Tamandua tetradactyla: one gene and its partners. The protein of the gene in region 2 interacts with the protein of the main gene of each other region in a pairwise test. Links are inferred from orthologs where the notes say so. Each region holds a gene or a part of one and is shown on either strand. Other genes may lie near its edges.

Region 1 (8,148 bases), on a different chromosome or scaffold from region 2:
TACAAGTATACTACTATTCCAAGTAAACTGGGGTAGAAGTGTATACTTGGTCTTCATTTTCATTTATTTATTTGGTGACATATGCTTAAGAGTTAGGTAGGGTGAGAACATTAATGCGCTATTTCTGGAAATGACTAAAGAAATTACATCTTATTTGATTTAGGTCACTGTAATTTAGAGGGATTATTTCCTTGATTTTCAGCCATTAGATTTACTTCCTTGCCAATCTGATCAGCACTGTATTAATTGTTAATGGTTTAGATTAAAGTTATTTTCATAGCATGATTAACAAGGTGAGATTTCTCTTTTCAAGCACCTGAAAACAAATAGGATTGGATATTTAGATGATAGAATGAAGGGGCAGAAAAGGGTTTGAGGAAAGCCAAAAATATAATATGAAACTAAAGAAAACTACCACAAGTGTGGATTTTCTGAGAAGTTTTGAGGATGCTTTAATCTGAATTTCAAGTATCAGAGCTAAATGGATCAAAGCCACGAGTATATGAAATAAATAAAATAAAATAAAAGGAAAATTTATTTGGATTGATTGTGATGTGTGTTTTTGGTTTTTAAAGTCTGTAATCATTTTGAATTTTGCCTTTCAGCATATATTGTTTAATAACTAAGGAAATTTATGACTTTTATTCCTGTCTTTAAAAATGATCAGGAAAGTATTACTAGGCTAAACGTAATGGCTGATGAATAAATCCACTTGAAATGGAATGGTTTCAAATTAAAATAGAAATCTCTATCCTCGTGTTTGCCAATATCATGATTTATTTATTTATTTAATGATTTATTTTTAAGCCATGTTGATCAGAGTGTAAGATGAGTCTATGGTTTAGAGTTGTAAAACCTAGGCTCCCATTAAGGATCCACCATTTCCTAGCTCGGTGAGCTTGGACATTTCATATTTTGGCATTTGTTTCCTAAAGTATAAAATGGAGGTGTAATATCAAACATATGATGAGATAAGAAGCTCAGATGAAATATTTGTTCAGTAGTGCATGTAGAACATCTCACTGTTCTGTAATTGCTAAGAGATACCCTATATAATGCAGAGAGGTAATCTAACCTTTATATTTAGACATTTAAGTTTTTATTCTTTTATTGAACTATTTTATTTATACAAATATTCTACCACCAGTTAAATTTAGATTAATTTTAAATAAGAAGCTATTGATATATATATATAAATGTCTAACCAAATATAATTGTTTTTAGAATATCATTTTCTTTTGTCCCCTAAATATTGTTAAAATAGTTTTGATATTTCAGTTTTAGGAAATCATAGTGTCATCACTCCTCTTAGTAAAGCAAATACTCTACCCTTTTCACCAGTTTTTAAAACTTAATTTTTCATAATTTAAGTATCTTTCACATTTCTTCCATTTTATTTCACCTAACACTCTTTATAAATAAAGGCTTTCATAGTAGAATTTCTGCCCTTTCTAGATACTGTGTGCTTTTTGGGGGCATTGTGTATTGTGGTAAAATTCTGGTACAATAAAAGAATCCACGATACCCCAGTTGAAATGGGAGCTATAATTTGATAAATATTTGAGTAAAAATGCATAAACATGCACATAACACATACACTAAGTGAATTTTGTGTAGTATTAAAGGGAAACCATTTTAAGAATATGGAGATATTAGACGCAGTTGGGGTGTGTCCATGGTAAATAAAAATTAGAAATATTTGTACATGTCTTATAGAAAGCTACTTATGGAATTACAGAGTTCTTATCTGTATTGAGCAGAAAATTAATACTTACAGAGTTTTACAGGTAAATTTTATTTTAGCATTTATATGAAAAATATAAATAATGAAATGAAATCTATGTATTATCTTTATGCCCTGACTGATAGAGATTTAAGAATGAATAAACATTTCACATATGTATTAAATTGAGGATTGTAACATAGAGTACAATGGAATCAAATAGAAGTCATAAAATTTATTGCAGCCTCTCAATTCCTGGGCAATATTTTTCTTTCTTTTTTCCTTCTAAATGCAGGAAGGAAAAGAGCTTCGGAGGATAATAATCTGACAAAAGTATGTCCATTAATAGGTAGATTAAAGGTTCATTTACCAAATTTATTCCAATGAAATATTTAGGAACATTTGTGCTGCCAACATAACTGCACTTTATTTTTAAAATATTACATCATTTTCTGTAATTTTAGAAGGATTTCTGTTTTAGGCAATATGTTTTAAAATTTCTAAACTTGTTCTTTATGCCATAATATGGTATTTAACAGTTTATTAACACAATTTATTAAAAGTGCGCATTTTTTAAATGTTAATTTTATTAAAGCTGACTGGAATTCATAAGTTGACTGGAAAAAGTTAATTTTATTAAAGTTGACTGGAAAAAGTCTTCAAGAGAATTTTAAAAGTAGCTTGTATGCTCTTGTATACTCTTAAACTCCATTTTATTCCTATTTACTGTGAGGAGTCACAGTAATAATATAGGCATAGATTTGCCAGTTGTGTGCACGTTGTGCAGCCATATGGCTGGCTATTCATGGTGGTCTAGATTCAGATTGTCCTGACCTGCCTGAATTTTCAGCAGAGTAACAAATAAAATAAAGCCATTGCTTTTACATGGTGGAATTAAACCGTCATTACCACCAAATATAGTAACATAATTGGAAGGATTTTAAGTTGGCAGAAATTCACATCTGGAAAGCAAAATAAAAGTGAAAGTTAACTTAAACTGAGAAACCAATAACCAAGATCAAAGATGAATGTGACTCATTTCAAAATTAATTCTTTTATTAGAAATTAAACTTGTCATATAAAATATTTTATTGTCTAACTTTGAGCTGAAATTTACAAAATGTGATAAATTCTTTCTTAAAAACTTAGTAAGTTTAAATTATAGAAAGTAAAAATTACCAAAATGAGTAAAATCTTACCTTGGCTGCTGTGATTTTCACAATAATAGTGTATTGTGAGTTCTATGAAGTCTTATAGGCATTTAGCTGGGAAATTTTCTGACTCTGTTACCAGGTTTATGGGAACAATTGAAGTAGGTGGAGGAGAAAAAGTATTGTAGGAAGGACTTATGATGTCACTCAGGGATTCTGAAGTTGTGATTGGTTAGCCATAGTTTTATCGTAACCAGACTCTTTAGAACACATATCTTTAGGTAGGTGTGTGGTGTGGAAAGGTCATTCACACTTTGTGCTTCATTTTTTGTTTTTAATTTTTAAAAAGGTATCTGGCAAATAAAAAAAAAGTAGTCTGGGATGGTGTTCTGAAAGCTCTCTTTAAAGATTTTCCATCTACAGGCTTAGAGATAATTGTATACTATACAATGTCTAACGTTGATAAAATTGAAGAGCTAAAATAGTCATAGCAATAGGAATTTTAAGAGAGTGACAATAATAATACGAGCTTGAGCCAAACAACTTTCAGTGAGTTGTTACTTATGCTCTTGCTTTAATACTGCTATTTTATAATGTTAGCTTCTGGCATAATAGCAATTAAACATTTTCATAGAATCAAATTTTACACCTTTTCCTGTCTTATCTTTTTCTTGTTCCTCATACCTTTGTGTGTATCAGGAACAGTGTCTATGAGAAAACCAGGCTAATAACTGGGTAGTATTTCTAAAATGATGTCCTTCATTTAATGTAGCAGTTGTTTTCCTGAAAATATTATATAAATGAAATTTCAGTAAATGGAATGATATTTTGAACTTTTTAGAAGAGTCTGTCTAAGAACTGGGAAAGGAATCTTTTTGAAAAGTCAGCCTCATTCTCCTATTTTATTTTATCTTTTTTTAATCTAATTTTTAGTTTTGCATATTGGATTTACTTAAATCACCAGACACACAATTTCTAGTTCTTAAGTCTCTTTTGTAAGTTTGGAGGAGCTATTTGTTATGAAATTAGCATTTAGAAGAAGAAAATCAGTATTTAATTTTTACAGGGCATTTCAAACGTCCTTTGAAGAAATAGTTTGAGCTGGGGATTTCTCTTTTGATTTTGTTTTCATTATGTTTGTTTATATACTGTTGGGTTTGTCACGTAAGTCATAAATATAAGACCTAGGAAGAAAACATTTTCAGTTTTAATTTTTTTTTAGCTTGAGTGTAACTCAGCCTGCCTCACTTTCTTATGGGTAACTAAAATGTGTAGCAGCAGCTGCTTATGACTCCTTAAATGGAGATTGTCTTGGCTTCTTCCAAAGAAAGATAAAATCCATCTCCTGAGCAACTCTCTTTTTAAACAAGCAGCTAAAACTAACTGAAAAATAGTGTTTCAACTTAAAAGTCAACACAAAATTAAAGAAATTGCATGAATAATGTTTGACACTGCTAAGCACTCTACAAGCAATTTTTCTTTCAATCTATACATAATAGTAAGGCTTTCTTATTTATTATTATCAATGGCCAGTGATGATTGGTAATATGAAATCTAGAAACCTAAAGTGGTTTATAGTAGTTTGTCAAAGATGACAGCTGCAAAAAGATAGACCAAGCACTCAAATCTAGATCTGTTTAGTAAAAATTCCCTGATGGATTGGCATTTTGTGGGGAAAGAAACATCCTTATTTGGATTATAACATTCACAGAGTAGCATATAGCCTACTAGGAAATTTATAAGATAGAGATAGGGTGAATTAGTGTAACTTGTTATTTTTAGAAGGGCTGCTTTAAGTTTGTCTGGCCGTTTACACAATCATTTGAAAATGAAGCTTAGGGAATAGATTATTGTAGTTTGATCACCTCTAGTTCTAGAAAAGTAAAATAGTAATACTTAATTGGATAAACTAAAAAATTGCTGTAAACTAAATAAAATATGCCCTATATAGCTCACGTTTGCTAATTAAAAGCATATACAAGTACATACACTTCACAAGGATATTAATTGTATGTGTCAAAGTTGGTAAATGGAAATAAAATTTTACTTTTCTGACTTGTAAAAGGATGGAGAACTTCTGATTACCCTTTTCCTTTGGCATAGCTTAAACAATTATTAAGTCCAAATGATGCTCTAGGTAGTGTTACATTTTAGTTTTAACCTGGTTGCCCAAACAAAAGTTATTTATTAGACTTGATGGGCTACAATATAATCAATAAAAGGTGCCTCAAAAATTCCCCAACTAGGGGCTGGAAATTTTTCCAGGGGTACTTTGTCAGAATTTTTATTTGGAGTTAGATTGTTTGAATCTATTTTTGGCCACATGACCTTATTCAGTAACTTCCCTTAGCTGCCTTATCTGTAGAATGGGATTGTTGTGAGGGTTTAATGATATTAAGTGGATATAATGACTTGTAGAAATCCTTTGAAGGATGGGTACTTAACCTGGAGTTCATGGGTAGAAGAGATCAAGGGTCCTTGAACATGGATCGGGAAAAATTGCGTCTTTGTTTTTTTACTGAGCTTTTGTTTTTTTACTGAGCTTTAAATAATATTTAACATTGCTTCAGTTTTGACTGCAGGTGAAAACCTCAGAAGCATTAGCAGTCCATGTGACTGTCACTATAGAAATCCCACATAATTTCACATGTGGTTGCAGGTGGTTTAAATACTGTTTATGTTCATAACGACTTTGAAATTATTATAATTAGACCTGCCTCTAGGCATTGTTATTTAATGTGTTAATACAGAAGCAACTATTACTACTTCACATATTTGTTTTTTAAAAATATTTCAATATACTTTGTTTCCTTTCTATTCCTTTTTTGTTTGTTTGTTTTCTTTTGGCATGGGCAGGCTCTGGGAATCAAACCTGGGTCTCTGGCATGGCAGGCAAGAATTCTGCCACCGAACGACTGTTGCACTGCCTTCTAATCCTATGTATTTTATAATTTTTAATGTTTTTATTTTAGAACAGTTCTACATTTATATAATTATTGCAAAGATAGTACAGTGTTCCTATTTACTTCACACCCAGTGTCTACAAATTAACATTTTTCATTAGTATGGTTATTTGTCTCATTATTTGTCACAGCTAATGAACAAATATTGACACACTATTAGTAACTGAAGTCCATACTTTATGCAGACTTCCTCAGTTTTCCCTTAATAACCTTTTGTGATCCAGGATTGCTATCCATGATACCATATTATATTTAGGAATGATGTCTTCCAAGGCTCCCTTGGTTGTGACAATTTCTCAGACTTTTCTTTGACCTTGACGGTTTCAAGGAATATAGATCAAGTATTTCTGTAGAATGTCCTCAAGATTTGTCTTATGTTTTTCTCCTGGTTAGACTGGAGTAATGTATTTTGGGCAGAAAGACCAGAGAGGTGAAGTATCATTTTCATCAGATCACATCAAGGGTATATACTGTCAACATGAATAATCAGTGTTGACATTAACCTTGATCACCTGGGTGAGTACTGTTTATTAGATATCTCTATTGTAAGGTTTCTTTTTCCTCTCCCTTTCTATACTGTGTTCTTTGGCAGGAAGTCATTATATATACCCCACACTTATGCTCCACCAACTTAAGGATCAAGTATTTACATACATTGTTTGGAATTTTTCTATTTATATAAAAACTTATAAAAACAGATCAGTAGGTTTCAGTCTGCCAAAGTGGAGTACCTGGTCCAAACAAATTTAAAATTCTTGTCTTGGAGGATGCTTCTGTAGTTGTATGGGGCAGTGCTTTTTGAGAGAGGAAGACTCAGTTCTCAGGCTTAAAACCCAAATGTCTTCGCTTGATATTTTAGGTCTTGTTTTTCTAACTTCATCTCTTACCACATCCCTTTTTACTCCATGCTCTGGCTTACAGCTGCCTATGGCCATCTGAATAGGCTATGCTATTTTAAGCCTCAGTACTTCTTGCAGGAATGTCCTCCCTAACCAACCCTTATTCCCATCAAAGTACTATTTCAATTTACCTATTTTGTGAAAAATCCATCCCTGCCGTATGCCAAATGATTTTGCATGAACCCATATCATGTCTGTTTTTATTGTGCTTATTAGTTTTATTCTGCCTAGACTGCACGCTCCTTAAAAGTGGATCCAATGACTCATATTTGTACTACTATTTATTCTTTATAATGCTATCGTCTAGTATAGAACCTGGTTCATAGAAATTCTTAAGTATTGAATGTATAAATGAAAGGGAGAGAGGGAAAGATTGCCAGGTTTGTAGAGCTGAGTTATCCTGCTGAGGTAGATGTTAGGGTCAGCTAAAAAATCCTTCCCAATTTTAAAGCTCAGTATGGGGAGGAAGAGAAGGATGTAAGTGATTGGTAGTCTTGGGAAGTAGAAAAACTGAGAAAAGAACTTACTGTCTTATTGTTTTAAGGTGTAAATATATTTAGTGGGTGAGTGTTTAAGAAGGTCATATTATAAGCCCAAGGTCCTAAATTGAGCCTTTTTTCCCTCATTAAATTTTTCCTTTCCTTATTGTATTAATAATCCATGGTTCTTTAGGCACTCAGTATTTGCCCATACATGGCCTACTTTCATTTATGTAAAGTTGTCTAGTTGTTGCTTTTTAATAATGTAATAAGGACCTGTGAAGTCATCTCCTCAACCAAAATCCAGGATGTTAGCAATAACATACTCAACTACAGGGTCTTGCCCAATTCATCACCCTGTTCCTCCTACTCAAGCAAATGATCGCTCTGAATACCAGGTTCATTTCTTTGCTTTTGTTTTTATATAGTTTTATAGCTTTTGTATGTATTCCTCAAAAGTATTTATTCCTATTTTGCTTGTTTTTACCTCTGTATAATGGATATCATGATGTATGTAATTTTTTACATTGAGTATTTGAATTCCAATTGGTAGTAATATGGCGGGGCAAAGGAAGCTTCAGAGTAGACTAGTTTTTTCTGGAAATTTTTGAAAAAAATTAATTTGAAGTGGTGACTAAGAGCATTTTAATATTTAAGTAAACATAATGCAGTAAAAATGCAAACTTTGAATGAATTTTTGTGATATATGTAAGATTTCAAAGATCAGACCCCCAGGCCTCCAGGAAGACTTTACCCAGCTCTTGGGGATACTTTTCTGTAAAAAGTTAGAGTTACTGCTTCAGTTTTAAATCTCCTTATGGTGGGATTATTTGACCTAATCCTAAAGGCAAATACCTAAAAGTAAAATTGAGATTGAGAATGATGGTTTGAAATTGAGGGGGTAGAGAAATGCCCAGAACAGCAGGGAAGAAG
Region 2 (8,061 bases):
CTCCCCAACAAAAGGCCTCTTCCAGAGTGGGCTTTGGGGGCAGGGAGGGATTCCTTAGAAGAGGGGATTCCTAAGCCCTCCATGAAGCTCTCTGGTTCTGCCTGGGAGCCCACTGCCCACCAAAAGCCCATTCCTAGCCTGGGTCCCGTAGCTGGTGAGCGGCAAAGTTGGGATGAAGATCCAGTTCTCTATCCCCCAGCCCACACCTTTCCTATCCTTCCGTGAGTCTGTCTCCTTAGAACGAGGGACAGATGGACACCTACCATGGGGCAGAAACTGCATTCGGCCCTTCAAAGTTGTTATTTTTATTTTTTATAATAGCTCTTTATTTTATAGATGAGGAAACTGAGACTTGGAGAAGTGACTTGCTCCAGGTCACCGGTGTGAGCTGGGATGTTAGTCCATGTCTGTTTGATACCAAACCCTTGCCCTTTCCATGACTCTGACTGTCCATTCTGGAGTCAGCCAGAAAACACTGATTGGAATCCCAGCTCTGCCACTTGCTAGCTGGGTCACCCTGGGAAAGTCACTTCACTTCTCCAGGGCCTCAGTGTCCTCATTTTCTAGGTAGAATACCTACCCTACAGAGTTGTCGAGAAGGTTGTTAGTCAATGGAACAGTGCTTGGCACCTAGTAAGTGCTATGAAGGTTTTAGCTATTCTTAGTGTTTATTGAGCACCTACTATGTGCTAAGCTCTAGTCCAAGCATTGTGGAAATAGCAGTGATAAGCGCTATCTCTGGTCCTTTACTTCTTGCTTGCTTATGAAATAATGAAATAAAGCTTTATTGAGGACCATACTGGCTGTCCTACTCTGCAAGGGGCACCAAAGAAGCAGAGAATCTGGCCCTTAGGAGATGCACGTAGAAGACAAGGCACAGGCATATAAAAAGGAGAATGTGGGCACAACTACCATGTTTCAGGCCTCGGCTATCTCAGAGAAATGGACAGGAATGGTTCTGGTTCATCTCTGTATCCCCAGAGTACAGCCCAGAGGCAGGCACATAGTAGGTGATTTGTGAGTATTTTTGAAAGAAGAAGGGCAAGGCTTGCCACAGAGGTCCAGGAGTCTAGGGTAGGCCCCCAATTCATGTCAGCTCAGGCCATTTCCATCCAATACACATGTATTTTTGGAGCTGCCTACTCTGCACTCACTGACAAGTTAGACCCATACCTAGCACACTGGCAGCTTACAGTGGCAGGTAGTAAGTGTGGTTAGGCGAGGTGCTGTGTGAGCTCAATGGAGGGGCCTGGGGAACGGGGGCTTTTTCACATAGATGAGGGTATAGGGTGCAAAGGGAGGTCATTCCAGGCAGAGAAGTACAGAAGAAGTGAAGGTCTCATGAAAGGTATGTGGGGGCAGTGGCGGACCCCGTGTGGTTGGTGTGTATTGGGAGAGGAGACAGTAGTAGAAAATGAAGCATAAATCTAAAACTAGTCATCCCTTGAGCCTAGTCAGGGCTCCCTTGTTGTTGGCAAACACAGGGTAAACTCAGATAACCAGGGAGACAGTGTGAAGCCTGGCAAGGAGAGGCGTTCTAGATGGCCAAGCAGCCACTCCTCAAATATTTGTGCAGCAGAGTCCATGTGCAAGGTTAGCAAGAGACTCAAGGGAGAGGCGACAGAATCAAGTGACGATTTCAGCTCCATTTCAAAGCTGGAAAGGCTCTCAAATGTCGATTTTCCTCCCTGGACAGATGGGGCAAAGGAGGCCATTGCCCTACAATCACCCCCACCACCAGTCAGGACTTGGAAATAAACATCAGTGTGGAGCAATGGAAGGCACTAGGGCTTTGCAATCACACAGACCCCCAATCTGGATTCGAATCCTGCCTCTCCCACCTACCAACTCTGTGACCTTGGCCAGGTTACTTAACCTCCCTGAGTCCCAGCTGCATCATCTGTTACTGCACCATTAACAAGGACCCCCTCTCAGAACTGTCCCGAGGATGAAAAGAGACCATGCAGTACCAGGCACATAGTAGGGATCCGACCCTTTCTAGCTATTATTATTATTATTCTCTACTTCTCTGGGTCTTTTCTTCACTGATCTAATAAATATGGGTCAAGAGGAGCATAGAGTTGATGGGCAATAAATGTGGGATCCCTCCTTCCTTTATCTCATAAAGATAAAGAGAACTGTCTTGGTTGCACAGTGAGTCAGTGGCACATAGATGATACAGATGTATGTGATCCCTCGGAGGTAAAAATAATTTCCCAGGGAAATTATTGGATTTGACTTTGGAGCTCGTTTCTCTGAAATACAGGTGGGTCCTGTAAATGGTGCAGTGCCTGTGAGGTAGGCAGCACACAGTAGGTACTCAGTAAATGCTTGTGAGTGGAGAGAATGACCGATGCTATTATGTCAGTGGCTGTCAGCGTGACCAGCCAGGAAGCTGAGAGTAGACGTAAACATGGAGGGTAGAGGTCTGGGGGACAGTAGGACCTTTGGGGGAACCTCTTTGTAGTCAGCTGCCCAGTCTCAGGGGAATCGCAGTCCATCGCTCCAGTCCATTACCTTCCCCTTCAGAGAGGGCTTTGCTTCCAGCAGCTGCATTGCCATTGACATCTCCCTGCTCAAGAGAACAGAGTGAGGCCTGGCTTAGCATAGGCCCAGCCTCGGGCAGTCAGACCTCAGTGTTTTTCAGAAGGGGAGACTGAGGGCCCGAGAGTAGATCAGTCTTTTGGCCCCCATCTCAGATAGAACCACTGCTCCCTGACACTTCAGCATGCTGAGCTCTTCAAACACATCGTGCCTACTTCATATTTCCACACCTTTGCCTATAGGATACCTTTGTCTAGAATGCCTTTTCCTCTACTGTCTGCTTGGCAAACGCTCATCCCCAAACCAGCTCAGGTGGCTCCTCCTCAGTGAGACTTTCTCTGCTGCCCCCTCTGATAATGTAGCTCACACTTTTCCTCTAGCCTCCTGTCCATCTGGCTCCTCTGGCTCCCTCCCAGCACTTGCCCCTGAGCTGTGTAGGTGATTCACCTGCTGGGAGTGAAACCCTACCTAAGAGCAGGTTTACCTCAGTGGCTCCCGCAGGCAGTCTTAACATCTTCCTTTTTCACTGCCCACGCCTCACACCAGGGTTTGCTCCCGAGATCAGGTCAGAGCAGCACTTACCTGGGGGAAGATCTTGTTCATGTCTCGGACTCCCAGCTCCAGTCTCTAGGGACTAGAGTGGACTCAGGGTAGGCTCCCTGTTTTGTCACCAGGGCAGCCTGGGGGAGGGAGGATGAGAAGTCTCACCCCAGGCCACACCCTCCCTTGCAGGCTACCCTGCAGTTCTCTTCCAGCCCCTCATGGCTGTGCTCAACTTCCTCCAGGCAAAGGAAAGGGTAGGAGGGCCCCTTCCCCACTCTGTAGCCATTTTATGGAAGAAGGGCCTGAAGTTCAGAGAGGAAGAAGGTGCCCATAGGTCACACAGTAGTTGGGAGAGGTGAGATTTGAACCCAGGAACTTTTCAAGATGAGCTATCTCCTTTATATCAGTGATGAAACGGGAGGCTCTCAGTCCTCCAGCTGCATAAGATGCAAGCAGAAACAGCCAGAATTAACCTTTTGGTGGGTAAAAAGCAGAGAGTCATTTTTCATTTTCTTTTTTTAATTAAGTAGGTAAATCTAAGTTGAAAGAATACTCATTTTCCCATTGGACTCAATAATGGAAATGTAATTTTAAAATTATTTTTCTTTAGAAAGTAGCAATGTGCATTTTTATTTTTTCTGAGATGGTGCTTGAGGTGGGAAGTGGCATGGTGAGGGGCAGGTTGCTCACCTGAATAATCCCAGGTCTGAGAAACTTGTAGCAAGAGCGCTGGCTTTGGAACTGGCAGTACTAGCTTTGTGACCTGGGATAATAGGTCACTAACTTTTCTGAGTTTCAGCTTCCCTATCTACCTCTCTAAACTTTTCCACTTATCTCAGAAGAAAGCCAGTGCCTCACAGGTGAGCCTCTGTTCTATTTGTCCAACACCTGCCAAGCCCACTTTCTTCACTTGCTCCAACCTCTCCCCCCTTTAATATTTTTTCAGCATAAAACTTTCAAAACTTAAGAAAAATACAGAAAAGTAGGAAGAATAATGTAACAAGTAATTGTATGTCCACTACCCAGAGCTAACAAATGTTCACATTTAGTCATTTTTACTTCTGCTATTTTCTAGTATTTTTTCTATTCAGTACAGCAAAATTGAAGGTCTCTATCTTCCCAGTGCTATTTGCCTCCCCTCCCTCCCCAGAGTCAGTAAGTCTCCTAAATTTGCCCGCGTATGCTTCTAAGTGACTGATTTTTATACTTTAACTACGTATGTATATTTGCATTAAAATATCCAGTATCACCTTTGTGTTGTTCAACATTTACATAAATATCATCTTAGTGTATGTCTCTTTCCTTAGCCTGATCTTTAACACACATCTAGAATCACACTGTACGGGCATCTTCACTTTTACCAGATACTGCCAAACTGCTCTTCAATGTGACTGTACCACTTTGCACTCCCATAAGCAAAGTGAGAGAGTTCCTGCCTCCCCACAGCCTCACCAGCACCTGAAATTGTCAGATTTTCTGACATCTGCCAGTCTGGTCAGTCTAATTTGCCTTTCTCTAGTTATTCCCACTACTACCACCAATTGCTAACATTTACTGAGCACTTATTTCTGCCATGTGTTGTACCACATGCTTTACATATATTAATACATTCAATCCTCCCAAATATAGGTAATAAGGACCATTTACAGATGAGGAAATTGAGGCACAGAGAAGTTACTTGCCCGAGCTCCACAGCTGCTAAGTGGCAAAGTGAGGATTCAGATCTGGGCTGGCTGAATTGTTCTCTATCAAAAGTGTGGTCCATGGACCAGCAGCATCTGCATCATCTGAGTGAGACCCTGTTACAAATGCAGAATCTCGGGCCATACCCCAAACCTACAAAATCAGAACCTGCAGCTTAATAAGACCTCCAGGTGATTCTAAAATGCATATTAAAATTTGAGAAGCCCTGTCCTACACTATTATGCTGTCTTTTTATTTACTGGTCATATGGATTTCCTCCTTGGTAAATTGCTTTTCAAATTTGTTGCCCATTTTTTCTATGGGTAGTTTGTCTTTTTGATGGACTTCTTTAAGCTAGATTTTGAATCCTTTGTTACATGGTTTATAAATATCTCCTCCCAGTGTGTGGCTTGTCCTTGTTTAGGGTGACTTCTGTTAGTTCTTTTTCTAAATTCAACCATCTTTCTTGTCTAGGACCAGGTAAAACCTCATTCCTTACATGAAGCCTTCTTTGGCCCTCCCTCCTTCCCTGGATTTACTTTTCCCTACATTCCTTATGGTCTGTGCCCCCATCTTAAAATGGGTGTGGCTAGGGGAGACCCACTGGATGTGATATCAGCAAACCCCAGCTTGAATCAGACAGACCTGGATTTTCATCCTGACTGCAAATTGATACCTATCTAATTCGAGAGGGTAAGGGAGACTCTCCCTAAGCCTCAGCTTCCTCGTCTGAAGAATGGGAATAAGAAGCTCCACCTCGCAGAGCACAAGCAAAGATGAAGAGTGCACATACATGAAGGTGCTCTACTCCCTTTAGGTGTGCAATATTGTTTCTGAATGTTCTAATCTATTTCCAATTACAGGGAGATCTTCTTGAGGGCTGGGGCTACTTTTTAATCCAGGAACCAGCTCCAGGCTGGACAATGCTAAGTGGGCACTCAAACAGATTGACCCTGGGACCTGAGAGATCTACTTCTAGAACTGCCTAGAGGCGAGGCTCAGTGCTTGACTTGGCACTTATCACTCCTCCCATGTGCCTTCCATAACTCTGGGTTCCCCGCTGACCACTTTTCTTCTCCAAGACTGTTTCTTCAACTGTAAAATGGAGAAGTTAAACCCCATCCTGCCTTTCTGGAGAAATGTTTTAAGGATCCATTTAAGGTGATATGTGAGAGTACTATGAAAAATTTTGCAAATGTCATGGGGAATCAACAAACTCCACTGAGAATTATCTAGGTAGACACTTTTACAAGATAACATTATAATATTGTTTAATGCAGATGATTCAAATTTTATTCAAGTTTACCATGTGTAAGCATTATGAATTTAACAGATTTGATTTTCCAGTAATGACTACATGATGTTATATCTTGAGGTAACATTAAGAGCTTTTGTGAAACTTCTCATTTCTAATCAGTTGCTGATTTTTTTGCACCCAAGCCGTTCAATAATTGCTGTTCCAACATTGCAAAAACAATTCAAGCATAAAAAAGCACACAAGAGGCAGTAAAATTAAGCCCAAATAATATAGAAATGAACAAACAAAAATAATTTACTCTTAAAATGACAAAGGAATATTAAACAACCTCTAAAGCATGGGTTCTGTAAATTTGTATGGAAAAAGTTAAATCTTTATTTTCATTAATTTCTAACTGAAATACAGCATTTCCTTCCATTATGAATTTAGTCAACAAGCCACAATATTTTTAGCACTACCTGTGACTTTATCACCAATAGAAATCATAAATATTTTGATAATCATATTTCAGTTGGTGATTTCAAAACATTACCTTGAAATTGCTTCAAAACTTTAGTAGTTCTGGACCTACCACTATATTTTATTTTATGTGTATAAAAGTATATATATGACTGTTTAACAAAAAATTTTAAATATTTTGATAACTGTATTTTAATATAATTAGCTTCCTTTGCAGTCCTTCATATTTAACTTTATGCAATTGAAAACAATATTCTGAGAATGTTCATGGGCTACACCAGATGCCACCAAAAAGGTCCATGGCACACAAAAAAAATTAAGAATCCTTGCTCTAAACAAAGAAGTCACTAACATCACCTGGTACATGTATTTATAGTGAAATACATGTACCTGGTCTCAACAATACAGATTTCAGAAAAGGGATATATACTGTGCTTCAGAATTTAATTACTGCAAGACGTCCGAAAATCCATACTAATTGTACAACTAATCTCCCACAGGCTACCTGGATATACCCCCACACCCAGGCTCTAATTAGAACAGAGGTCAAAAAAAGAAAGATGAAAAAGGTTACTCATACTGATGATCTCAAATGCAAATATGACAGTCTTAGCAACTAGAAACCTGGTGGGGGGGTGAATTAGTGGATGGTGTCAAATTGCCTTAGCATTGTAGTTTTAAAAATATAGCCCCACATGAAGGAACTTGGTATCAATGGAGAAGCCTTCCCAGTTTGCTTGGCATCACTTAGATATTGACCAGTGCCCTTAGACCAATTCTAGGGTTACCACCAAAACAACAATGAGAGGGAACAGAGAGCCATATATATAGATAAGCGTTCAAAAATAAAAATGAAGTAAAATGAAAGGAAATAGGATTAATGGGAATGAGAAAAAAAAACTTGATAAGGGAATAGAATTTCCCATTTAGAGCAGGTTCTTCTCTTGCTACTTTCAATGTGGTTCTGCAAGAGGGTACAGACTGGATGACTACATAATTTAATGGATCCTAAAGGTTGATATTGTTGGCCTTTAGACCTTCTTCCTCTTTTCTATCCTCCTCATTGTTGTCTGAATGAGCCATTCTAAAACACTTATCTTTCTTGCTTAAAGGCTTTCAATGGCTCCTATTGTGCTCAAGATCAATTTTAGGCTTAATAAGTTCCTTTATTATCTGGTCCCTCCAATCCAACTATTGCCATGCTTTAGCATTTTACATCTCAGCCTACTAAACAATTTGCAACTCCCCACCCTTTTACCACTGTGTCATGAGCCTACTGTCTCTACTGCCTGGAACACTGCTCCCTGTATTTTGTCTGTCTTTTCTTTTTCTACCAGCTTTAAGTTTGGATATCACTTTCAAAAGTTAGGGGCCCTGCTACATGCTCCCCAACGCTCTGTGCTTATTTGGTCATAGCACTTATTACCTGAATAGTCTGTCTCCTTCTTTGAGCAACCTGGAGTCAGGCTCTGGGTGTTGCTTGTTGTTGCAAATTATCACCTACCATAAGGCCTGGTGTTTACGCTCTCAAGTGGTTGCTAAATGGGTCAACTGTGGATCGATAGGATATCCAT
Region 3 (7,580 bases), on a different chromosome or scaffold from region 2:
CCTTGGCTCAGACAACTGCAACCATCAAGCAAGTGGCAGGGGCTGAGGTAGACTGAGGCAGCCTCTGCCCCCACCAGACCAGAGACTCTGAGCCATGCCTCTGCCCCCAGCAGGCAGCTGGAGCTTTAGGCAGCAGTTGTGCAATGTGCTGTGGATGGGAACTCTCAGGGCTCTGCCCCGCAACCTGGGGTCTGATCAGCAAACAGAACACTAGGCAACCTGCCCCTCTATCCCAGAGCCAGTCGATGACACATGAAAGAGAGGTTCCCATTCCCTGCATGTGTTTCCCTCTGAGAATTTCATGAAAGTGACAGCAGTTCCTAGGTGTCACCACCAGACACAGATGCCTTACACCTACGTTAAGGGCCTGCCCCCAACTTATCTACCCCCTGTGTCTTTGTCTCCAGGAGCTATGACTGCAGCGATCCCCAAAATATTCAGAAACCACAAGTGAAGGGGCTGGTCAAATACTCACTGTGGTATACCCACAATCAGCTTTTACCAACCCCTGCCAGTCAAAATCTGAGACCACAGTAAGAGGGCAAAAAAAGCAGCATCTGCTATTGACGAACTTTTTGCACCAGGACAGTCTGTAGATGCCTCAGTGCCCTTTTCATAGCCCAGCCTAAAGCTTTCCTGGCCCAACATGCCCTTCTGGGCCTCCCCAGTTGGGTTAGTGTCGGCCAGATAAGCAAGTTATCAGCCCAAAGGCAGGAGGAGCCAGGAGGAAGGCTGCAAGACTGAGATAATGCGTGGAGCCCAGCAGCTAGGCCTGTGGGGCTGTGTTTGCAGCTGTCCCTTTCGAGAGATGAATCCATAGCATGGGGGCATCTCCAAGTGAATGCATATAGAGGTGGGCCCATGCCTCCTGCCCTTGCTAAGGATCAGTCTGAACCATAGTCACTTAACATTTCTGCAAATGACTGGGAGTTACCAGACTTATCCCAGAGCCCACATATTAAGTTCTGCCATTTGTTTTACTATCAGGGTTAAAAAAAAAAACAAAACACTGATGAGTCTGCTAATGCAAATCTCCAACATAATAATAAGAGCAGCTTCTGTTTTAGCACCAAATGCTTGCCAGGTACTGACTTAAGCAGCCTGCATGTCTGTTAGTCAACTCACTGAGCTCTGAAGAGCTGTTATAAATGTCCTCTTCCAGGGTCACCATCCCAGGGAGACCTTCCCTAACCACCCTGGCAGTGCTAGCAGAGTCCAGGTTACTTTCTTCATAGCACATGCTCCTCTCTGAAATGCTGTTATTTCTTTGTCTATTTGGTAAGCTTGGTAAAGGAGGACATCATACTTGCTCCCTCTTGTCCCCAGCTCCCCAGCACTGTGTCTGGCACAGAGTTGCTACATTTACTCTTGCAGAATTAATTTCTCAGCCCCTGCTCTGCGTGAAACCAGAGTGGGAGAACCAGGTCTTCTGACACCCAGATCCTGGTCTGCCAGTCACTGGGGTGGGAATAAGAGAGGTTTAGAGGTTAGAAGGCCAAGCAAGCTGCAGAGGCTTGGGCTTGGAGAAGGCCAAACTCAGGGCTGGAAACAAGGATAGGGGTGTCTGCAGGCTGGATGCAGCTCTGGGGCTGCTGTGAAAGGAGTGGGAGCCATTGCCTTGGCCCCAAGCCTAGGAGATGTATTTCACTGAGTCTTCTCAACAAACTATGAAATAAGTCCTATGATTAACCCCAATGCACAGATGATGAGACTGAGGCTCAGAGAGGGACATTTCTTTCCCAAGGCCACACAGCAAGGAAGGGACAGTGCCAGGATCTGAACCCAAAATGTCCGGTGAGTAGGTCTGGGTTCCTTGAGTGTTAGAAGAAGTCGCTTTGCTTCTTTGGTGCTCCTCTTCCTTTGTCAAATATGCTGATGGAGTGGGTAGACTGAGTCTGCTGAGGGACCCTCTGAGAAGAAGCACCCACGATCAGTTCCTCCTGGGAAGCTTACCCCGGGCAAGGCCTGTCTGGGGAGGTGCTGAGGTACCTTTTCCCAGGCTCCTTTTCCTGAGGGCAAAGAATTAGAGGAAGATGAGTCAGAGGGCAAGCTGCATCACTCTTTGAGCCCTCAGTTTCCTTATCTGGAAAATGATAGTCAAAAGATTACCCAGATCATAAGTCAGTTAATATTAAGAAATTCAACAAATTTTAGTCATTATCACAGTCCCCATTGTCAGCTTACAGAGCTGTTTGAGAATCTTACGAGCCCAAACAGTCAGTGCCTGCATACTGTAAGTGCTAAATACATCTCACCATGTATAGGATAAACATGGAGGCTGTGAAATGCGTTCATCCCTCAGCCCTCACCAGAGCCAGCCTCCTTCCTGCATGCCGGTGGCCACAGACAGGCCGACTCCAATGCCTCCTTCCATACTTCCCTGGCCCTGCATGTGAGGCCAGGTTGTGATCCCAGCTCTGCTTCTTACTTGCTGTGTGGCCCTGGGCAAGAGACTTAACCTTTCTGAGCCTTGATTTTCTCACCTGTAAAACAGGGAACAGTTCTTAGTGCTTCCACCTCTCTGGTTCCTGGAGGACCGAATGCACTAATATACATTCTGTCCACCCTGTTTGGAGCTTCCATCACGTGCCCCACACTCTGCTAAGTGCTTTGTGCACAGTGCCTGGCAGGGTAGGATATTTACAATTTTCCAGGCAGAAAAGGGTGAAAAGGGTTGGACAGGGCACTGACTATTATTGAGCACCTACTGTGTACCGGGCGCTCTGCACATCCGCCACCTCCTGAATTCTCTTACCAACCCCTTCAGACTGGCACTGGGATGACCCCGTTTCACGGAAAGGGAAACTGAGGCTTACAGAGGCGCCTACTGGGTGCCGGGCCCCGGGAGCCTCTCGCCGTCCTCGAGATAGGCAGTGCGAACCCCGCGTCCCGGGGAAGGGCTGAGGCCTCGAACCCGAGGCGGGACGGCCGAACACGTCTCCGGCCCGCGCCTACCTGATCTGTGGCCGGGCCGGGCGACCGCGCAGGCCCCTCGGCTCACCCCGGCCCGGGTCCCGGCCCGGCCCGGCCCGTCAGCGCCGCTAGCCCCGCTCCGGCTGGCACCTGCGTCGGGGCACCGCCCGCCGAGCAGACGGCGCCGCGGGCCAATGGCGACCGCCTCCCTCCCGCCCTCGCCAATCACCATGAATGTCCCGCCCCGGGAGGTGGGGCCTGGGGCGACGGGGCCGACCAGAGCCGCACAGGCCCCGCGGCGCCGCAGCCGCTGGCTCCGCCCCTGCCGCCTCCAGGCCCCGCCCCCAGCCCCGGCCCCGCTCCAGCCCTGTCCTGGGCTCCCGCAGGGAAGACGGCGCCACCTGCTGACGACCTTGCTAGTTAATAATTAAGAGCGTTTCCCGAGTTCCGCATGCCACCTGGCAGAGCGACTTCTAAGTGTTTGTCACCTCCCTTACGCGTCTCATCGGTCCTGGGGAGAGGAAGAGACCGTGTGATTGCATGTTACAGAGGAGAAAATAGAAGCCTAGAGAGGTTGGGGGCCATGGCTCCTGTTTAAAGTCAACATTCATTCATTCATTCGTTCGTTCAATATATGTTCATTGAGGGCCTATTATAAGCCAGGCACTGCGCTAGGCTTTGGAGACACAATATTGAGTTAGACAAACATCGCTTCCTTCGTGGACCTCAATCTAGGGAGTGAGACAGACATTAAGCAACCAATTATAATGAATAATTATTAATTACAAATGTGATCAATTGTCATAAGTGAGGAGGGCGTATTGTAAGAGCTTGGAATAATTTGGGAAGTCTGAAACTATTTCCTTGAGAACCAGCAATGGAGGTGACTTTCTGAGGTATTAGTAGAGGTGAAGTAGGAGAAAAGAGAGGGAAAGAGTCCAAGACAGACAGATCAGTACATGCAAAGGCCCTGAGGTAGGATAGAGAATCATCTAGTACTCCTTTCCCCTCCTGGCCCTGCCTTCAAGGAATATATAGATCAGCTCAATTGACTCAGTTAAAATTAAATATTTATGTATTTAAATTTATATATATTTATGTGTATATATATATATGTATATATATATATTTGCCTTATCAGGCAGTCCATTTTAATTAGTATAATTTTGACTAGGCAAACATGCTGTTTTGTAATTACTCAGTTATTTATATTTTCAATGCCTTTTTTCCCCTAACCATAACATTTAAAAAATAATTACCTATAGATGGAAGAAAAAGAATGGGGGTGGGGGGACAGGGATAGAAGCTAGACTTCTAAAAATACACCTTTGTTTTAAAGATTTGACTTTGAATTATTTTAAAATATACTTAAAATAATTAAATATTTTAACTATTTAAGCATTTAATGTTTAAGTTGTTATAATGATTTCCTTTTATAATATTTTAAATATTTAATAAAATATTTAAAATAATCACCAGTTTTATATTTATAATAGTTCAATAATTTAAATCATCAAAATAAATATTTTAAGTGATTACAAAACAAAATTTTAAATGTAAATAAATTCCTATAAAGCAAAAGGAAAATAAAACAACTGAGACAGTGTACAATTTTTGGAGACTGTGTGTCCAGTTAGTGAGAAAACAACACAAGAGATGGACACCTAATAACTTGAAGGCACAACCATTTTATTTATTTTTGGTCATAGTGTTAGAATTGTTATTCTGAGCTGGTAACATATGTAGTACCAGAAAAAGCAAAGGAGTAATTACGTTGGTGTCAAGATCTGGGATTTTCAGAGGCAGCGAAAGGAGATAGAAGTGTAAGACCGATTAAGTCAAAACCTTAAACTCTTGAATTTAAATTGGAAGTATCATAATATATTATATGTTTATAAGAAAACAACCATTTCCTAGCTTTGTGTACTGAAAAGATGAGAAACAAAGATCAATCCAGTTTCAGTGAGTACTCTTGCTATCCTGACTATGGTCTCTAAATACCATCTTCAGCTGAAGGAACCAGGGAACCTTGGTTGGCCTGAATCTAGGTCCAAAGCAGAAACTGTACAAGAAAAGCCTGGAGCATCTTGTTGTATCACAAAGCATGTGAGTTACCAAAGCTTCTAGGTAGTATCAATAGGAGCCAACTGGAAGGGGTTCCCAATGATCAAAGATAGAACAAGCTGGTCTTTCAATAAGAATAATTATTGCAATAAACCAAAACTCATCAAATATGGACTTAAGTCCATGCACTTGGGTTTTTTATACTTTTTATTTTAAGATAACTTCAATGTATATAAAAGTTGCAGAAACAATACACAGGACTCTCATAAGCCCGTCATCCAGACTCCCCAGTTATTAACATTTCTGGATCCTAATTCATAAAAGTCCATTCAGAGTTTCTAATAAAGTCCTTTAGAGACTTTATTATTTTATTTATTTTATTTATTATTTTATTTATTTATCTTTATTCCTTTAGAGAACCAGATTCCATTCCAGGCTTCCATGATGTATTTTGCCATCATGTCTCTTTGGTCTCCTTCAGTCTGGAAAATTTCCTCATTCTCTCCTTGTCCTTTATGACTTTGACACTTTCGAAGATCACAGGCTAGTTTATTTTGTAGAAAGTCCCTCAGTTTGGGTTTGTCTAACAGTGTCTCATGATTTATTTATTCATTTTTGGCAGCTGATATTGTAGACCTATCAGGAGGTATATGAACCTTTCCATTGCTGGTGATGCTAACTTTTATTGCAGGGTTAAAATGATGGCTGCCAGGTTTCTCCAGTGTTACTATGTAATACTTGTCAATTAACAAGTGGAGAGATACTTTGAAGCTAAGTAAATATCCTGTTTCTCAACAAATTTGCACTCACCAGAGTTGTACCCATCCATGATTTTTGCCTAAATCAATTATTACTATGATGGTTGCCAAAGGATGATTTTCTAACTCCATCATACCTCAGAGACTTATACATTGGTGTTTGTGTGTAAGATAGAACTTTTCCATCCTCCCCCATTTATTTGTATCATCAGGGACACCTGGATTCTTATTTTACTCAAAGGGTTATATTTATTTGCTATAACTACTTATTTTAATGCCTTAAACTGTCCTTGATTTGACCAATGGAAGCTGTTCAAGATAGCTTGTGTCCTGTTGATATGCCACCATCAAATACTAACCACTTCTTATTGGCTCCACAAAATGTTCCAGGCTAACTTAACTTGTATTTTTCCCTTGTTTCTTTGTCCCAACCCTAGAATCAACCATTTCTCCAAGGACCCCTGCTTCCTTTTAGTGGAGAATTTGTAGAACCCAGGATCTGGGTGCCAAGTGTGTTTACCACGGTATTGTTAATTCTGGTCCCTCTCATCATACAGAGCTGGGAAATCTATGTATATGTATTATGTACCTATATACAGACATACCTATATTTTTTTCTCTATCTATCCATCCATCCTTCCACATCTATCTATCCATCTGTTATATCTACTGCTATTATCGGCCAACCATCTATCTATCTAACCTATCTACCTTTATTTCTCTATCTCTCCATCTCCCCATCTACTATTTATCTTTTAAAACACACCAGTACCTCCAATTCCAGTCCAAAGCCCAGGTTTACTCCAGCCCCTTCATGTTTGTAACTTCTTTCTCTGCAGTGAAAAACTTTGTTTTCCTGATTCTCAATACATTTACCCATTTGTTCAACACCACTCCCCCCCCCCCCCATTTATAACCAAAATCTCAAATACATTGGCCAAATACATCAGCCCCGGACGTGCTGCCCTACCCCATCTATCACCGGGTACTCCAACTAAGCAGCTAAATTCATGCATTAAAAAAAAAAAAATCCCTAATTGGTCACCTTTGAAGGCTCCTTGGGAACCAACTCATCATTTTGAAAATGATGAAATTTGAAAACTGGCAAGTAAAGAACTGTGTATCCATGTTGGCATTCCATATACTCTGTCCCTCAGGGTAACCACATAGCAGTTGAAGGGACATTTCTCTTTAGAGAAGTATTTCAGAAGTAAATGAAGAAAGGATCGAATTTGACTATCACCATTTTTTAACCCCTAATGAATTAAAAATCTAGGTGATGTTGACCAGCAGCTGCTACCACAAAAGTTACGTGCTTCCTAGCATAAGTACTCAGCTGTCCCTATGAAGCATTCAAGCCTGAATCTGATCATACCTCTAGATCTAATTATTAATTTACAGGAAATCCAGGGGACAAAGAGACATAGTAAATGATACCGTAGGCCCATAGAGACAGAAAGTAGATTAGTGGCTGCCAGGGTTGGGAGAATGGAGGAGGGGGTGTGGCTGCTTAACAGGTAAGATTTCTTTGGGGAGTGATGAAAATGTTCTGGAATTAGTTGTGTTCATGGTTATACAGTTTGCGAATATGCTAAAAGCCACTGTATTACACACTTTAAAATGGACAAAATGGTGAGTTTTTAAATGTTTTATATCAATTAAAAAAACACACAAAAGCAAAAAGAAAATGTCATCATGGAAATTCAGACTGACAAACTACAAGACAAATGAATCATGCCCTTAAAAACAAACAAACAAAAAAACAAAGATAAGAAAAATTAGAGATAAAAGGAAAAATCTATAAGTTTAAAGAGACTGAAGAGACATATGAACCAATTGTAATGT
Region 4 (7,494 bases), on a different chromosome or scaffold from region 2:
GTTTTGCTACCTGCTAACTCTTCTGCAAGCATCTGGTCACACAGCCTGCTGCCCTTCCCACGGGCTCCGGCTACCAGGGCCTCCTCGGGCCTCCATTCAGAGGTAAACAAGGGAGAATCAACTCAGAGCGGAGCTGTGCAAGCCAAGTGCAGATTCACAGTCTCGGGGCAGCTGGGCGGTCCCATGTGACCGGAGTGGCAGCTCCCGGCGGGGCTGGGCAGGGAGCGTGCTCCGCTGCACGTACAGTCAGAGGGCGGCCCAGGGAATCCTCAATGCGAGTTTCCACTCTGCGGGTAACCATCTTTTTATAGAAGAAGCAAAACAGAAAAACAAAAACCTTTCAATTCCTGAGCTGGCAGTCTTGTGTGGCCAGTGACTCAGCAATTTGGGTTCTAAACCAAGGAGGGAGGAGCTGATGGGCTCCCCTCCAGAGGACCCCAAACTCTGCTCCAAAGACCCTCAACTTGAGGCTTAATGTCTGAACCAAGAGGTAAAATAAGCAGTACTGGAAATAAAGGAGTGTGTTCATTAGAAAAAGGGTGATTTTAAGGCAAAGGACTTATAAAACATTCCATGGATCTTACTCCATGACAAAAAGAAAGAAAAACCTCCCTTAATCTATTTCAAATGGGGGAATGAGTCCATGCTAAAAAAGACCCGAACTACAGGAGTTTAAAATATGTGGTTGTAGCTTTTAAGTACATATACAATACAATAAAAAAGATTTAGTTTAGGCTAACTAAATCTTACCTTGAAAAACAATTTAACAACAGGCAGCTTTCTAATACAGCCGAAGAGTCCAAGGACTTCAACCACCTTAGTGAAGGCTGCAAATGCACTCTCAAAGGGCTCAACAGTCCTCTCCAGAGCTTATTTACACGCTCACTTTGCTTGGCGAACTCTTGCTTCAGAGAGGACAAAAGTCAGCAGTGGCCAGGCTCCTTACCCACCCCCTGGGCCCGGGCTGTGTCAGTGAGGCCAAAGGAAAAAGCCAGGTGTGCCAGGCATTCCTGTGCGGGCAGACCCACCCAGGGGGGCTGAGCCTAGGCCCCCCTTAGCTGCGGGGAGCCCTGGTTTCCTGCTGGGGGGGAGGGGTGCCCTGGGCGCACAGGGCCAGGCTCCAGGGCTGGGGCTCCTGCCGCCTCTGAAACGCCAAGGAGCTGGGGCAGAACAGCGTCCTTCTTCTTGTACTTTTCTGACCCCTAAGTCAACTTTTACACTGTTTTCACGATGACCCTCCAGGAGAAATGGAACACCAACCTTAAAAATAAAACTGACTGCATGCCTGTATCATTTTTCAAATGTTCATTTCCTGAAAAAAAGGAGCACTATATAATATTGGTAAACACCCTTCCCCCTTTCCTTCCTTCCTCTTTTAGGAAAAAAAAGATGGTCGCTAAGATACAAATGTTAATCGTTAAAAACTAAAAACCATAAAATTCAATTTGCAGTATTTGTTTGCTGAAATCAATACTGGCCAAACCACAGAAAATGCAAGAAAACTCGAAAGGTTCTACTGCGACGTGAGGTTTAAGCTGCTACAAGGAATAATTCAGGCGGGCCAGCTGTAGGCGGTGTCCGGCACCCGCAGCCTCTGCCCAGGGGCTCCGCGGACAGTGGGCCTGGCGGGAGGCACTTCTGCCCAGGCAGCGCACTCTTGGGGGACACCTCCTTCACGCTGCCCACTGCCCAGCCCCGGCGGGGAAGGCCCACACTGCAGCGGTTTCGACAAGAAGGTGTCTTTTTAAATAGCCTTTTACACATTTGGAATTGGGGACGACAGGCTGACACGGCGCCTCTCACCACAGCACCCCTTCCGGAATCGGAATGACTTCGGCTGGTTCATCGGCGCCCCGAGAAGGCCAAGCCCACTCCACCCCACCCGAACCCTACGAGCAGCAGACCACAGCGCTGCCCAGGCTACTTCCTAAAACACTGCAACAATAAACTGTGAATTTATCCACGGCCAACTGCTCCTTCACAGACTTCCTCAAGATGGGACTGCGCCCCGATTTCCCGTCACCTCTGCCCTGCCCCGAAAAACCATGTGCCGGGGCTTTCCCTTTAGGACCCCTTAGTCCAGGGGCAAGTTAACCCTTCAACTGCGCACAGTTTAACTCTTGCCAACAGCCGAGCCCCCCCCCAGGTCCTCCTCCCGGGGGGAAGCGCTGCTGCTCAGCGGCCGCCCCCGGCTCGGCCCCCACTGCTGCCCCGACCCTCGGCCTCCCCAAGGCCCCCAGGCCTCCCCTGCCTTCACGGCTTCCTCAACCCCCTCGGCCTCCCCCAGCCACCCCGACCCCCGGCCACCCCCGGCCACCCCGACCCCCGGCCGCCCCCGGGCCCTCGGCCTCTCCCGGCCACCCCACCCCCCGGGCCGCCCCCGGGCCCTCGGCCTCTCCCGGCCACCCCACCCCCCGGGCCGCCCCCGGGCCCTCGGCCTCTCCCGGCCACCCCGACCCCCTGGCCACCCCAACCCCCGGGCCGCCCCCGACCCCCGGCCACCCCCGGCCACCCCGACCCCCGGCCGCCCCCGGGCCCTCGGCCTCTCCCGGCCACCCCACCCCCCGGGCCGCCCCCGGGCCCTCGGCCTCTCCCGGCCACCCCACCCCCCGGGCCGCCCCCGGGCCCTCGGCCTCTCCCGGCCACCCCGACCCCCTGGCCACCCCAACCCCCGGGCCGCCCCCGACCCCCGGCCACCCCCGGCCACCCCGACCCCCGGCCACCCCGCCCCCCGGGCCGCCCCCGGGCCCTCGGCCTCCCCCGGGCCCCCGGCCTCCCCTGGCCGCGCCCGCCCCCCGGCCGCCCCCGGCTCCGCGACCCGCGCCCGGCCTTACCCTGCAGGTTCTCCTCCTGCAGCGCGGGGGCCCCGCTCAGCGACATGACTCCGGAGGGAGATTGCGGCCGCGGGGTCTGCGGGGCGGGGGCGCGTCCGAGCGGTTCGGGGAGAGCGCGGGCAGAGCGGGCAGAGGAGACAGCGCGCAGGCCCAGCTCCGCCGTCCGAGCCCCGACTGACCGCTCCGGGCCGGGGCGCGACGTGGGCTCCGCGACGGCGTCGCCCATTGGCCGCGGGCGGGACCTTTGCGCGTGCGCGGGGTCGCGGGGCGCGTGCGGCGCGTGCGGCGCGGCCGGGGGGCGGGGGGCGGGGGGGCCCGAGGGCGGAGGGGGCGGGGCGGGGCCGAGGGCGGAGGGGGCGGGGCGGGGCCGAGGGCGGAGGGGGCGGGGCCGAGGGCGGAGGGGGCGGGGCGAGGCTGAGGGGGCGGGGCGGGGCGAGGGCGGAGGGGGCGGGGCGAGGCTTTCTCGGGCTTCCCCGGGTGCCGCGGTCTAGGCGGGGGCGGGGCGGCCGCGGGGCCTGTGTGCGGCCCGCGATGGAACCTAGTGCCGCGAGCTGCGTGGCCGAGGGCCTGGGGGTCTGGGGCGCATGGAGGCCGGGGAAACTGAGGTGCGCTAGGCCCAGCAGCTGCTCAGTCACGGAAACTGGAGAGGCGCGGCTGCCGCGGAGCTTCGCGGCCCTCTCGGGGCGGTAACCCAGCCCTCCTTCCGCAGGCGATGCAGACCTGGAGGCGGCGGCGCGCGGCTGGCTGCGGCTCTCAGGAGGAAACCCTTTTCTGTTTAATGTGGTCTGAACCCGAACCCGAACACACTCAAAGACAGGTCTGGGCAAGCAGGAAGCAGGGCCACCGGCTCCAGGGCGGCTGCGCCTCTGGGCGTCCCGCTCTCCTCCCTTACCCCCACAATAGAACCCCGGCAGGGCTTCCAGGTGGAGGTGGCTGCTGTGCACTTAGAGACCCAAACTATGTGGCGCCTTCCGGAAGGCTGCACCTTCGCTCCTCTGTGTGGGAATGCCGCCTGGGGAACCTCACCCACTGGGGGACTGGGGAGGCTGAGGGGTTCAGCCTGGCCAGGAACTGGGAGCCCAAGTCCCACTGGCGGCCCTGACGTTGCGCCCCTCCACCTCTTCCTGCCCTCTGGGAGCCACTTGTGTCCACTCCAAGGCAGTGCCCCAGCCAGGCTCCTTTACAGGCTGCCCGCACGCTCAGGAGTCGTCATCCTTTCTCACCTTTCACCTCAAATTGCGGTTGACACCCTAGGACATCTTCAGACTTTCAGTGCAGCAGCCCGAGAATGGGGCCTGGCTCTGTCTGGTGCCCGGCGGGCCCCGGTGGTGGAGAGCAGGGGAGGAAGCGGCCAGCGCTCGGAGAATCCCCTGCTTGGTCCTCTGAGGTGTGTTTGGCCTGGCTGGCCTTGGTCTGGGGCCAGAGACCTCTGGCCACAGGCTTCCTGGAGATTGGGACGGACTCTGGCACACTGTGGGCTGGGGAGGGGGCGTGCAGTGCAGGCGGAACACCAGGAGAGGGCAGGAGGTCGTGTCTGGGGACTGAGTGCCAGGCCAATCAGGAAGGTCTGCACCCGGGAACCCCCCCTCCCCCCAGGATGACTTGAAACACAGCCTCACTGCTGCTCCAGAAGAGAAAAATGGACCAACAAAAGCAGAACGCAGCTGTGGCCACAGCAGAGGTGCCAACTGCAGCTGCAGGACACATGGCCCAAGAGGCACAGTGACCAAGTGTTCTAGTTTGCTAGCTACCAGAATGCAACACACTAGAGATGGATTGCCTTTTAATAAAGGGGGATTTATTTCATTAAAAATGTGCAGTTCTTCAGAGGAAAGGCAGCTAACTTTCAACTGAGGTTCTTTCTTACATGGAAAGGCACAGGGTGATCCCTGCTGGCCTTCTCTCCAGGCCTCTGGGTTCCAACAACTTTCCCTGGGGTGATTCCTTTCTGCATCTCCAAAGGCCTGGGCTGAGCTGCTTGCCCTGAGATGAGGTATGCTGAGCTGCTTGGGCTGTGCTACGTTGAGTCTCTCATTTAAGCACCAGCCAATTAAATCAAACATCATTCATTGCAGCAGGCAGGCCTCCTAGGCGACTGTGGACGTAATCAGCAACAGATGAGGTCCACAAGCCATTGGCTCATGTCCACAGCGACAGAACTAGGCACCTTCACCAGGCCAAGTAGACACCTGAACCTAACTACCACACCAAGGAAGGCTGGGCAGAGCGAGTCCATGTGCCCTGGTGACAAGCGGGGAGAGGCCAAGGGCCCTGGGATTCTCTGCCCACACCAGCCGCTCTTCAAAGAGGAGACAGGAAATGTCATCAGGCTGGTGGTTTCTTTGCCTTTCGAGTGAAAAGGGGAAAGCTTCCCCCAACCCCTTAGCTACAGAAGTGGTCCAGCTAAATGACGGGAGAATATGGGGATGAGAACATCACTGTTTTGCTGCTCCTCCTGAATGAATGAATCCACTCATCGATCACAAACAGCTGCTAATAACACAAAGTCAACCAGAAATTCTGTCCCCCCATAGAAGGCCCTAACACAGCGTGTGAAATAGTTTGGTTTTCCCCCACAAAAAAATTAAACCTGGTTTTGCATGGTTTTTCTGTATACTTACAACTTCTTTAATTTATTAAAAAACAAACAAAAAACCTGTATCTAATCAAGCCTCTGGAGGTAACTGCCAAATTCAGAGCACAGACGAGAGAGGAGCATGTTATGTGCTGGCCTAGAGCTGCAGTCAGCAAAATGCAGGTTGTGGGAAAGCATAGGAGAAATGACTCATTTTCTTCAACAAATAAATTGCAAGGGGAAAAAGGAGATGGATTTGTTTCCTGACACTGGCTGGCGTGGGGGTGAGGGAAAGAGAGGGAGGGAGAGAGAGAGAAAGAGAAATTTGAGCACAAAGTAACTATTTGAAAAAATTAGTGTTATTGTTAATTACTTTTAGGTGTGATAAGGGTATAGTGGTCAGGTGTTTTTTTTTTAAACGCAATTTTTATTGAGATATATTTACACAGGTCAGGTATTTTTAAGAGTTACTAACTTTTAGAGTTACATGTTGAAATATTTATGTAAAGAAATATGATGTCTGGGGTTTGCCTCAAAATAGCAGAGAGGGCAGGTGGAGGATTGAGGTATAGACGCCATGAGGTGTTGAAGCTGGGTCATAAGTACATAGAGGCTCATTTGATTCCATCTACTCTTATATGTTTGCTATTTTTCACAATAAAAATTGTTTAAAGGATGAATGGAGGGGAAAATCAATATATATAGAAACCTAAGTAAGGAAGAAGATGGTAGAGGTGCCATATATATATTTTTTTTTTACAGTGGGGAGAATGGCATGGGGACTTAGATGTTTGTTTTTATCTGTTTTTACTTTTAGGGAAGGGAGGAGGGGAAAAAAAGAGAGAGAAAAAGAGACAGAAAGAGAGAGGAAAGGAGGGAGAGAAGAAGGGACGTGGGAGGGCAATGCGGGCAGGAGAGCACCACACTCCCCAGCTGTCCCCATGGGCTTCACCCAGATCACAGTGCACAAAATATCAGAGGACGCTGCAGTGACCTTCTGTCCGAGCTGATCACTTCTTGCCCTATAATCCAGAGCAACTCGTGTGGCTCACCTGAGCCTCGACATTCTCAACTTTACCAGGGTCATAATACGGAGATGACACAGAACCTGTCCTTCTGTGTCTGGCTGGCTTCACTCAGCATCATGTCCTCAAGGTCATCCGCTGTCATGAGCTCCAGGACCTCATTTCGTCTCACGGCTGCATAATGTTCCATTGTATGACAAACCACATTTTGTTTACCCACTCCTCTGTTGACGGGCAGTTGGATTGTTTCCATCTCTTAGCAATTGTGAATAATGCTGCTGTGAACATCGGTGTGCAAATGTCTGTTGTGTCACTGCTTTCAGCTCTTCTGGGTATATACCGAGTATTGGCATTGCTGGGTCATAGGGCAACTCATTATTTAATTTTTTGAGCAATCACCAAATGTCTTCCACAGTGGCTATACCATTATACCTTCCCACCAGCAGTGAATAAGTGTTCCAACTTCTCCACATCCTTTCCAACATTTGTAGTTTCCTGTTTGTTTAACGGCAGCTGTTCCTACAGGTGTGAGGTGGTATCTCAGTAGTTTTAATTTGCATTTCCTTATAGCTAGAGAAGGTGAGCAGCTCTTCATGAGCTTTTAGCCATCTGTATTTGCTCTTCAGAAAAGTGTCTACTCATATGCTCTGCACATTTTATAATTGAGTTGTTTATTCTTTTGTTGTTGAGCTGTGTAATTTCTTTATGTATACGGGATATCAAATGTTTATCTGATTTATGGTTTCCAAGGGACCGTATTCTTTTAGTTCTGTCTTGCTCTTAAAATCCGATTGAAATGACAGTAAGGAAATACAAGGAAATAAGCCGACAATATAGAGGAGTGCTGGAGTTGGGTCCTGGGTGAACCAGCATTATTAGCATTCTGGAAGACAAAACAACAACAGTGTTTCACCGGAGAACAGAGAACAGGAGACGCAGCAGCTCAGATATCCAAAGTCAGAGGCAGGTTCAGGCTTTGTGTGCCCTTAAACTGACATAGTTTTAAGAACAGCTTTATTGAGGTATAATTACTGTACGACAAACTACACATAATGTAAGT

Evidence for each region. The genes of interacting proteins can lie anywhere in the genome.
Region 1: the proteins of LDLRAD1 (region 2) and PLN interact in binary tests that used the Homo sapiens proteins (3 or more experiments, as listed by UniProt). The link is inferred for Tamandua tetradactyla from reciprocal best matches to the Homo sapiens genes LDLRAD1 and PLN.
Region 3: the proteins of LDLRAD1 (region 2) and MARCHF2 interact in binary tests that used the Homo sapiens proteins (3 or more experiments, as listed by UniProt). The two-hybrid records come from large-scale screens. The link is inferred for Tamandua tetradactyla from reciprocal best matches to the Homo sapiens genes LDLRAD1 and MARCHF2.
Region 4: the proteins of LDLRAD1 (region 2) and BNIP3 interact in binary tests that used the Homo sapiens proteins (3 or more experiments, as listed by UniProt). The two-hybrid records come from large-scale screens. The link is inferred for Tamandua tetradactyla from reciprocal best matches to the Homo sapiens genes LDLRAD1 and BNIP3.

The regions. Positions count from the first base shown.
Region 1 is NC_135331.1:179,386,306-179,394,453, reverse strand, and holds the start of PLN (phospholamban), read right to left. Parts: upstream 3,056-8,148; 5' UTR 2,923-3,055; intron 1-2,922. UniProt on the Homo sapiens protein: Reversibly inhibits the activity of ATP2A2/SERCA2 in cardiac sarcoplasmic reticulum by decreasing the apparent affinity of the ATPase for Ca(2+).
Region 2 is NC_135328.1:167,435,415-167,443,475, reverse strand, and holds the start of LDLRAD1 (low-density lipoprotein receptor class A domain-containing protein 1), read right to left. Parts: upstream 3,148-8,061; coding exon 3,127-3,147; intron 2,573-3,126; coding exon 2,518-2,572; intron 1-2,517.
Region 3 is NC_135337.1:84,859,791-84,867,370, reverse strand, and holds the start of MARCHF2 (E3 ubiquitin-protein ligase MARCHF2), read right to left. Parts: upstream 3,056-7,580; 5' UTR 2,956-3,055; intron 2,484-2,955; exon of another isoform or gene 2,310-2,483; intron 2,010-2,309; 5' UTR 1,954-2,009; intron 1,918-1,953; exon of another isoform or gene 1,783-1,917; intron 1,715-1,782; exon of another isoform or gene 1,126-1,714; intron 1-1,125. UniProt on the Homo sapiens protein: E3 ubiquitin-protein ligase that may mediate ubiquitination of TFRC and CD86, and promote their subsequent endocytosis and sorting to lysosomes via multivesicular bodies.
Region 4 is NC_135339.1:94,575,812-94,583,305, forward strand, and holds the start of BNIP3 (BCL2/adenovirus E1B 19 kDa protein-interacting protein 3), read right to left. Parts: upstream 3,056-7,494; 5' UTR 2,881-3,055; coding exon 2,835-2,880; intron 1,589-2,834; exon of another isoform or gene 33-1,588; coding exon of another isoform or gene 11-32; intron 1-10. UniProt on the Homo sapiens protein: Apoptosis-inducing protein that can overcome BCL2 suppression. May play a role in repartitioning calcium between the two major intracellular calcium stores in association with BCL2.